Arabidopsis thaliana: one gene and its partner. The protein of the gene in region 1 interacts with the protein of each later gene in a pairwise test. Each region holds a gene or a part of one and is shown on either strand. Other genes may lie near its edges.

What was found.
Region 2: the proteins of AT5G19960 (region 1) and WAVH2 interact in a two-hybrid assay, tested with the Arabidopsis thaliana proteins (one large-scale study listed by BioGRID).

What each region holds. Positions count from the first base shown.
Region 1 is NC_003076.8:6,742,241-6,746,913, reverse strand, and holds AT5G19960 (RNA-binding (RRM/RBD/RNP motifs) family protein), read right to left. Parts: upstream 3,037-4,673; 5' UTR 2,886-3,036; coding exon 2,775-2,885; intron 2,534-2,774; coding exon 2,435-2,533; intron 2,398-2,434; exon of another isoform or gene 2,343-2,397; coding exon 1,930-2,342; intron 1,583-1,929; coding exon 1,522-1,582; intron 1,452-1,521; coding exon 1,398-1,451; intron 1,300-1,397; coding exon 1,231-1,299; intron 1,156-1,230; coding exon 1,090-1,155; intron 1,009-1,089; coding exon 940-1,008; intron 853-939; coding exon 781-852; 3' UTR 533-780; downstream 1-532. Other genes in the region: AT5G19950 (tudor domain protein (DUF1767)), read left to right, coding at 3,212-3,493, 3,662-3,829, 4,031-4,244.
Region 2 is NC_003076.8:26,259,325-26,264,675, reverse strand, and holds WAVH2 (Zinc finger (C3HC4-type RING finger) family protein), read right to left. Parts: upstream 3,541-5,351; 5' UTR 3,205-3,540; coding exon 2,803-3,204; intron 2,724-2,802; coding exon 972-2,723; 3' UTR 506-971; downstream 1-505. UniProt on the Arabidopsis thaliana protein: Probable E3 ubiquitin-protein ligase involved in the regulation of root growth. Acts as a positive regulator of root gravitropism.

The DNA of each region.
Region 1 (4,673 bases):
ACGTGGAATTCCACTAGAGCCATGCGACAAGAAGAACACATTTGCTTATGCTATTTACTGCTACTGGTTTGCTATAAGATGTACGAAACATGCCTTGAAGAATATATATGAATAATGGATAATGCCTTAATATTACTATAATGAAATTTATATGAGAAGACAAACATATAGAGTATCCTAAATGGGGTTGTTCTTAAGATCGTCACGTATAATGATGATTTGAGTGTTGGTTGGCTAACTTGGCTTTACAAGCAACGATAGGTCAATGGATGATGTTCACATCTTAATCAAATAAAAAACATTCGGCTGACGAGTAATGGACGGTGGAGATGATGGTTGTGTCAACCTTAATAATTTAACTGTCTATTCTTTTCTCTCTTTTTATAACATTTTCACTGTAGCCAAGTATCTTTATATTAGTAAAGAACAAAGCAAACATTACAAAAAGAAATAGTTAATTTGTCAACTTCATCTACTAAAATATTTTAACTATAGCCAAGTACTATCTAGGACTTCTTCTCTAACAAAGCTTTGAGACTTTACTTCCACACTTTGTATGGTGATTGTTTGGTTTCAGTTGCAAGTTGAAAACATAATTATTTAGTTCATGTTCGTATGATAATAATACATCCCGAATGAAATGAATACATACTTGCCAAAACAAGTAAATATGTACCAAATTAGTGTAGCTCGACTAGAAAAAAACTCGGAAAGTCACAAAGAGAAGACATATCAAAGCTACACTTTAGACAAAACAGATCATACATGCGGGTGACCGTGTTACGGATACCCGTGTCCCAATCCTTCATCAGCACCTGCCACGCCTTCTCTAGCTGCTGAATTAACAAGCAACTGCGAGAAAAGAATAGACACTTGTTTCGATTAGGCCTAATCTTTATGCAATGACAATCACTAGAATAAGAAAATTTAGAAACTAACCTGGAGTTCTTGTTCACAGTCTTTCAGGTTGTCCGTGCACTCTCTAACCCTTGAATATGATTTATGTAGCTACCACAAACATAGACCAAATGTCAACAAACATTACCTAACAAAACCGACTTTTAGAACAGGAATCGAACCTATGCTTACCTTTGCCAATTCTTTTCGGCGTTGTGAAACCAGTTTCTTTTCATTGATCAACAAATCTTCTAATCTCTGTCTTAACCATTTCAAATGAGAACAAATCTGTAGTCAAACATTTTGGGGTTGTAAGATATAGAAGACACATACCTTAGATTTCTTCTGTAGCTCTGAGCACACTACTTCTTTTACTTCCAGTCTCTCTTCCATCACCATCACCTTAAAAATGAAAGTAGCCCATAAATTCATTGGATCACTCGTGATTATGTAAAATAAATCTACCAACAGCCTATATGCACAGATAAACTACCTCATACCTCATCTCGAAGCGCCTCACGCATCTTAATCAGCGCTTCCAGATCTTCTTTCACCTGTAATAGAAGTTGCAAGTTATAAAATGAATTTATGCAAACACTGCATGGCTAAGAAAATCATCTTTACCTGATGATCTCCACTTGAATTAGAGAAGTGATCTCTGCCACGTCCACCATCAAGAATGGTACTGTCAATCCAACAAGAACACACAAAGATTTAGACATGTTAACAAAACCAAAGCAAGCCAAAACATTCCTCAAACGGTAACATGCACAAAGCCAACAAGAGCAAGAAACTTCCTCAAATCCATTACACTAAAATCGATGATAATTTATCAAACTTAACCACAACAGGTGTGGATGATTTGGTTTAGCGGCGTGACTAAGACTAGCATCCCAGTCTTTGACTCATTCAAACTAGCAGACCAATTTTACAAGAACAACGAATGTCACAATTCAAAGAAACAGGAGGAACACTAAAAGTTTGAAATCCAATGTGAAGTCTACAACTGCATTGTTTTCAACAAAAGTTTACCTATCTTCTCTCTTTGTTTCTTGGCTCCTTCCTTCGTGAGCACTGGTCCCATTTATTCCCCTACCATTATCCACATAAGACCTATCCCCACGCCAATCTCCTTCATCACCATCGAAAACTCTTTCCTTATAACCATTTCTATCTACCATATCATGATCATTCCTCCTCTCAAAATCATGTGAATGCTCATAAGCTCTTTCCTTCTCTATGTAGCGATGATCTTTTCTCCTATCCTGAGACCTATCCCGTTCTCGAGACCTATCACTATACCGATCCCTCTCATAATTACCATCACTTCTCCTATCAGGACTTCTATCCCAACCACCGTGTGGTTGTAACCGCCCCGGACCTGGATTCATTCTTCCACCTCTTGTTGTCACATCATTCACACGCACTGCACGCCCACCAATACTCTGATTACGAGCTCAATACCGTCAACAATATAAACACACCACGTACATGATAATATAAACAAAAGAACAAAACTTTAGCAGTAGAACCATACTTTTCCATCCATATCTTCGATAGCATCATCAGCCGATCGACGGTTCGAAAATGTAACAAAGCCATAGCATTTCCCTCTTACACTCCGGTCATTGACAATCTGAATTCTCAAATAGTACACATATATGTCAATATACACTCTGACCAGCTCACATGTAAGATATATCAACTAGCAATTGGATGTTATCTAAATCACTTGGTCAGTCTTTCTACATAGATATCTACTAAAGCTTATCATCTATAAGATCATACAATAAGATTGGAACTTCAAAATCACGAAACGAATTTGAATCATCCTAATTAAGAAACTTAAATCAGGATATTGAAAAGAGAAAATTAACCTTAACGGTGAGGACGGAGCCGTAAATGGAGAAGACGCGACGGACAGCCTCCTCGGTGATGTCGTAAGGGAGGCCGCCGACGTAGACGGAGTTACCATCGTCCATCGTCATAACTCTTTATCGACTTTGGTCGGAATTCAACAAGGAAAGCAAAGTACTTTAGAAGTCGTACTGTCAGAAATCTTCGTGTTACATATGGGCCATTAGGCCCACTAAAACGAAACCGGAAAATACCTTTTTTATAGGACTTTTTCGAATTACTTTTCTAGTTTTTCTGTTAAAAATGTTCTTCTTTATTGATCAAAACGATTTTATGCAAAAAGTATCATTAGTGAATAGTAATTAGTTTAACTCGATATTGACCATAACAAAATCAATTCTCCAAATTAAAATCTCGTCTTCCCCAATTGGTTTAGCGCGACAAGAGCATCAACGCAATGGTGGGAACATCAAGCTCCTCCGCCGGCGACCACACCCACACCGTCGTGATAAATGCCCTAACTAGTCGGGGCTGGTGCTTCAGAGACGTCGAATACTTGAAATCCCTGGTCACTGAAATCTCTTCCTTGATCGGCGGCGGCAATAAAACAGGCGCCATCGTGGAGTCAGTGGAGGCGGAGCTGCTTAACATGGATATTAAGTTAATCGGAGGTAAATCCCTCCCGGACCCGACCGAGTTACGCAGGTGTTCTCATCTTCAAGGCCCCAAAGTTCTCCAGGTACATTGCTTCAATCAGCTAAAGTCAGTAACAATTGGCATTAGGTCTTCGCTAATTCAATGAGTCACTCTCACTGATATACTTAGATTTAAACTAGTTTCAGAATGCTCAATTGTTGCAGTTGATTCAAGCTGTTGAGTGTTAATTTGTTTTCTTTTGTGAGCATAGATAAGTTATGTTAGGGATGTTACAAGAAGTAGCGCAGAGGAATTTGTGGGAAGTTCCACTGGTAAACGAGTGCTAAAATTCGCTCTGACTGACGGGAAGACCGAAATATCCGCGCTTGAGTACTCTCATATACCAACGATTAACAATGATGTCACTCCTGGTACTAAGGTAGTTCCATTTCCATATCAATCTAATTCAAATTCTCCTTTACTATGTTTCTGAAAGTCTCATGCAAATATAATAGTTTGGATTAAGATCTAAATCAATAGAAAGCTAGTGCACATATGTGTTTGTCATGCATCAGAGGGTGTCATATGCAAATCATAAATCATTTTGTATTGTTGATATTTTGTACTGTCTCGTTGGCAGGTACGTCTAGAAAATAAGGCTGTGATACGTGATGGTCTAGTATGTTTGACTCCAAAAGAGGTGACTGTCTTGGGCGGTTATGTGCAATCACTCACTGAAGAATGGCAGATGAAGAAAAAATACGCTAGTTTGGCTCGATCTCAGGAAAGCAAAGCTGGTGATGGCCCTCCTCCATTTGAGGAGTTGAAGATTCGAACAGGTTCCCATCACCGCGGTAAGCAGGATTTTCTTATTCTCATCATTTTCATTCAGTTTTCTTCTAGTAATTTGTTGCATATTTAGTTCACTTTGAAACGGTTGGCCAATCTTTGCTACCAAATAAAATATCTACCATTTTCTATTTCATGTTGATAGTGTACATAAATATGCATTGACTGCAGCAAGGACTTATTCCATCCAAATGCACTTTAGCATAAACATATTAGTAATTTGACCCGAGCTCCAAAATCCCAATATATCCGTTTATGTAACCTATGACGACTCATGTAGAGGTCTGATCTATGTTTTCCCTTGGCTTTGTGTCCAACATTGGCGCTGTTGGGTCTCCATTGTTTCAATACTTAAACTTGAGTGAATGCATTTTCATTGTGGTAAAATTTATGATCTATTGAATTGTTCTTCCTTTGTGTGGGCTTACATAAAG
Region 2 (5,351 bases), about 20 Mb from region 1:
TTAGTTGACATTAACATTGTCCATATGCAATATGTAACTGCGTGATGAATGATAGCTTAGTTTTTTTTTTTGTGAAAAAATAATAGCTTAGTTTTTTTAGTTATGATTTGACCATATATATAGTTCGAGATTCTTCTGCCACTGATCATTTTAGTGAATCACATCGAGAAGTGGACCTTTGACAATAGTTAATCATTTCATCCATTTTAAAAGTATACAAAATCATTGCATTCAAAACAAATTGCAACTTGGCGCTAGCTACATATAATTAGTAAATGTCTTAATGATATAAAATGAATGAATTTAAGCGAGAAGAAAGCTTTGCAACGGCGCATGACCTGGTTTCTACCACGGTGCACCCACCAAACCATTCACCAACAACCAACAAAGACAATCCCCACGCACTATTCAAATCATTCAAACCCGGTGCCTTCTATAACAAAATAGGCTATAATGATGATCACATGACTAATCATGATCATTCATTTGGAAAGATATAATATATTATAGATCCTCTTAAGTTAAACGGCATATGATAATATAAACTTAACTTTTGATTTTGAAGTCCAGCATTACAAGCACACTCTCTAATCCACTATACCTCAACTTTTAATTCTATATAGTACACAAAAAAAGCAGACTTCATTTATTTGATCTACAACTTTTTTTAACTATTCAGTCATTAATTTGGAGTTTTTGAAGATTACAAAAAGGAAGAAGAAGATAAAAATGCTAAAAGACCAATTAATTCCTTCTAATGTAGGGTCTCAATCTCTCTGCAATACAAAAGGCCACACCCGTCGGCTACTGCTTGTCGCTATCATGCACCTATGTGGGTCTTTTTCTGAATAATCATACTTCTATTATTTATACCTTACTAAATTATTGCTTATCCTCCTTATATAAATTATGTACCATTATATATTCAAAAATCATTGAAATCGAATTTTCGAAAAAAAGGGAAATTAAAATTAAAATCTGGCGTTTTCCAAGCCGTGCATATCGCTGACTCGATTTAAATGCTTCCTCATAATAGCCACTTTAGCTAATTTCTCGGCGGCTCTCCAAGCCGAAGTAGGGGTAAGCTGCTCCGGTTTATCTTCAGTTCGGTTTAATATACTATTTCTCGGTTTAATCCGGCTAAGTTCATTTAGCTCAACCTCCAAACTCCTTAAACTATCATCCGAATGAGACGCATTGGACCGAGCCGTCGTTAGAACCTGATACGCTCCGGATAAATCCTCACGCTCGATAAGCCGGCGTGAATCCGCTACAGCGCGGCACATGGAGTGTAAATTTCTCAGCCGTTCGATGCTTGAAGATACATATCTGACGGATTGTGGCCGTGGGATCAAAAATCGTTTTTCTTTAGGACATGTCATTGGCTGATGTGTCATTTGGTCAACGATCGACGACTGTACGGACATTACTTGGTGGGAACCACTCGACGAAGTCGGCACTTTGAGCTCAACGAGAAACTCTCTCTCCTCCTCCGCAAACAAATCTCCGACTTGGATGACAGAACCGGATCCGAAATTCTCGAGTCGACCGGTTAAAGAGTAAACCGATGAAATCTCAGTCAAATGAGATCCGTTGACCAAACTGAGATTTAGCTTCACGTTATGGAGAGTCACGTTGAGCAACGAAGCGATTCTTTCGGTGAACGCGTCTCGTAGCGGCGCGTGAAGCAACGCTCCAGGAGAAGCAATGTAAACGGAATGAACCGGGATCTCCGGACGAGAGAAACGCGTGGTAGACACGACGAACGGAATGCGCGTTGCGTTTAGTTTAGCTTTCAAAACTGCCTCCGGTTGATCTTGACCGTCCGATAAAACAAAGATGCTCGTTGACGGATTCTTCTCCCGCCGATCTTCAACGACTTTAACCGCTTTCTTCAACGCGTCGTTAACGCTCATTCCAACTCCGCCGGTGGTTTCCATTCCGCCGAGTGCGTCGACCATTCGCCGCGCCGATCGTCTTCCTTTCGCCGTCATTCGTCGTAACGGCATTAACCGTTTTGACCCCGTCGAGAAAACGACGATCGATAAACGATCCATTTCTCGGAGAAGAGAGATCACCGATCTCATCGCGTGTTTAACCGTTTGCAAATTAGCACCGCCGTTGCTTAAATCGAGAACCGTTACCAGATCTATCGATGGTCTTCGCGCCTTAATCGCATCGGTGATGGACGACGGCGACGGAGACGCTTTTAGTTTCATGATGACGACGTGTGTCTCCTTCTTTTTCCCGGTTTCCACAACGGCAGATTCCGGCAGCAACTTAACCTCCAGATTTCCTGAGATTGAAGGAACCATATCAGACGTAATCGAAGAATCTCGGAAGAATCCGGGGAAGTCATCGTCATCTTCAACGTCGTCGTTTTCGTCTGATTCATGTATAGTGTTGATCTGAGCAAGAGAAACCGGCGAATAAGCTAACGGCTCATCGTCGTTGTACACTCTCAGTGACTTCCCCGTTTTGATCTCTCGGATCTCGGGTCGTCTAATCGGGTCGGATCCGAAGTTATTATTAACAGCCGGATAATTCGACTTTGGCGCGTGATTCCATGCGGCAGAGCAAAACGGACAACGCTTGTCTTCTAATCCATTGACGCAAGAAAGGTGAAACGAATGTGAACACTCCGCCGTGAAAATTGCCGCCGTCGAGTTGCTTTGATTTGAATTCACTCTCTGCAAACAAATCGCACATCTACTACTATTACTCTGCATCCACACACACACAAAACGGAGCTTTAGATTATGTCTTTCAAATTAAGAACTTGATTGAATCAAAAGTAACTACCTTGTTGAGAAGAAGCGTGGCACGGAGGAGAGAGACGCCGCCGCCGCCTTGAGAGGAAGAAGAAGATGATGATTTAGGAGAAGAAGGGTTAGAGAAAAACTTGGGACTTGAGCTGTTACTAGTCCTTGGAGTAGCATTGCTCGTAGTCCTGCAATGGAGTTTGGGACTAGTTGGAAGAGATGGGATAGTGACTGATGTGGAAGCTGAGGAGCGGCATCCAGTGCCGCTTCCGCCGCGTGATCGGAGACGAGGAGTTGAAGGGTTGGATAAAAAACCAAACTTTGATCGGAATCTTGGTGTGGGAATTGGAGGATCAGTAGTGTGTAATGATGAATGTTGTTGAGGTTTATCTTGATTACTTGAAACGGAAGTGCAAAACGCTTTTCTCCAACCAAACACCATTTCCTGTGAGAAAGAAATAAGAAGAGAAGCTCTCTTTTTTTCTATATTATTCTTCTTCTTCTTCTTCTTCTATTTGTGGAAGTAATTATAGAGAAGAAGAAGAAGGACTTTGGGCATAATGGATCATAAGGAAGATGGAGAAATTAAATACTAAGATAAAGACTATAGAGAGATTTCTTTTTCTTTAGTGATGTTTCGATAAAGACATTTTTTTTTATGTTATTTTAAGTTGTAGGAATATTATAAGGTAAAAATTGTGACTTTTATGCGTGTGAATTGGCTTTTGTTTCCATTTGCATGTAATTGTTTTGCCTCGAAGAAAATAATCACTGATCCGTTAAGTCCTTCTTTTTTTTGGGTCAATTTTGCTATTTTTTTTACATATTTCAAGTGTTGTTTCATTGGGATGGACGATAAAGTTAAAAGTCAACGGTAATAACCGACCATATGCAAAATGAGATTTCAAATAACTTGAGACGCGGAGATCTTTGTTTTCCATTTGCATGTAAAATCTTTCTTTTCAAAATATTAAACAGTTTATTAGATTGTCTAATGTGGATTCCTCTTGAATGTTCCACAATGTGGTTCGATTATATAAATCATTTCCAATCTTATCGGATTCTTCGAAATGCAGATTGTGATGGAGTGTAAGGTCAAACATGTGGGCACGTGACGTTACAGTCTGAGCAATAAACGGTAAGCTTATTTTCCTTACGAAATATAAATGATACTAAAACACGTTGTATTCGAGTTATCTTCATGATTGTGAATTGAGTTGTATATTTAATTGATAGTTGCTTACGTAATTACATACTGGCTGGAGCGAGGAATTTAACCTAAAGTTTTGGGTTTGGAATTTTGTAAAAGGTCTTTGATGGAGAAAGGTCGAAAAGTTTTTTTTTTTCATTTATTTACCAACAAAATGATTTATAATATATGGTGACGACAAGAGCTAATGATATGACATAAAGATTAGACTGGTCCAGGTCCAGCAAATTTTGAATTCTTCTTGCTATTGCAAAAAAATTGATGGTTTTGGTCTGATTTTGATTTCGACACTTCTATTATTTTGATTTGACAACCTTTTAGATTGGCTGATCAAGTGCTCGAGATAATTAGTGTCCTAAATCAAAGGTATTAACTCCAAAATACAAATTACTGCAATTTGTGGCCTCTAGTATCTTGCAGTTATGCTGAAGAGCCACATGAATGAATGAAACAATAAATGGGTGGGTACATATATGATAAGGGGGCTGCTAAACAAAATTGTAGTTAAGCATTTGTAAATGGTTTGGTAGGTTTTTTAAGTGGCTGCCATTGTAGAGACAACACATGACTTCGTGCGTGCATGCCATGGAATCATTGATTATCAACCAAAAAATGAAAATATTAGTTAGTTAATCTTGTTAAGAATGTAATGACTTATATTATACGAATAGCTTTACACAAGTATATATACAAGTACAGAGGAGGTTACACTAGGGTTGTACAAATATAGAATGTTCCATAAAGGAGACAGAGGAATATTATGATATTAAAGAGAGATGATCCTATGTATCCTTAACACGCCCCCTCAAGATGGAGGGGCTATGCACACTCCAATCTTGTCTCGAAGTTCCGTGAAGTGATTTCGAGGAAGCGGTTTTGTTAATGCATCAGCGAGTTGGTCTCTAGTGTTGACGTGAGCCACACGAAGAATGCCTTGCTGAACTTGTCCACGAATAAAGTGATAGTCTATGGCTATGTGCTTCATCCTGGAATGGAAAACCGGGTTTGCGCAAAGGAAAGTAGCACCCACATTATCACAATAGACCACAGGCGGTTTGGGAAGTGTGATCCCAAGCTCCGTGAGAAGGCTGCATATCCACTGGATTTCACAAGCAGTATTTGCCACCGATCGATATTCAGCTTCTGTTGAAGACCTTGCAACGCTCTTTTGTTTCTTGGCAGTCCATGAGATTGGATTTTTCCCGAGGTAAACGATGTAAGCATTTGTTGAAACGCAATCTTCTGAGTCTCCGGCCCAATCTGCATCTGAAAAGGCATGAAGGGAGAGCTCGTTTTGAGCAGCAAAGAAAATGTCGTGAGTCGTAGTTCCAGCCAAATATCTAAGAACTCGTTTTGCAGCTTGCCAATGATCATTGGTT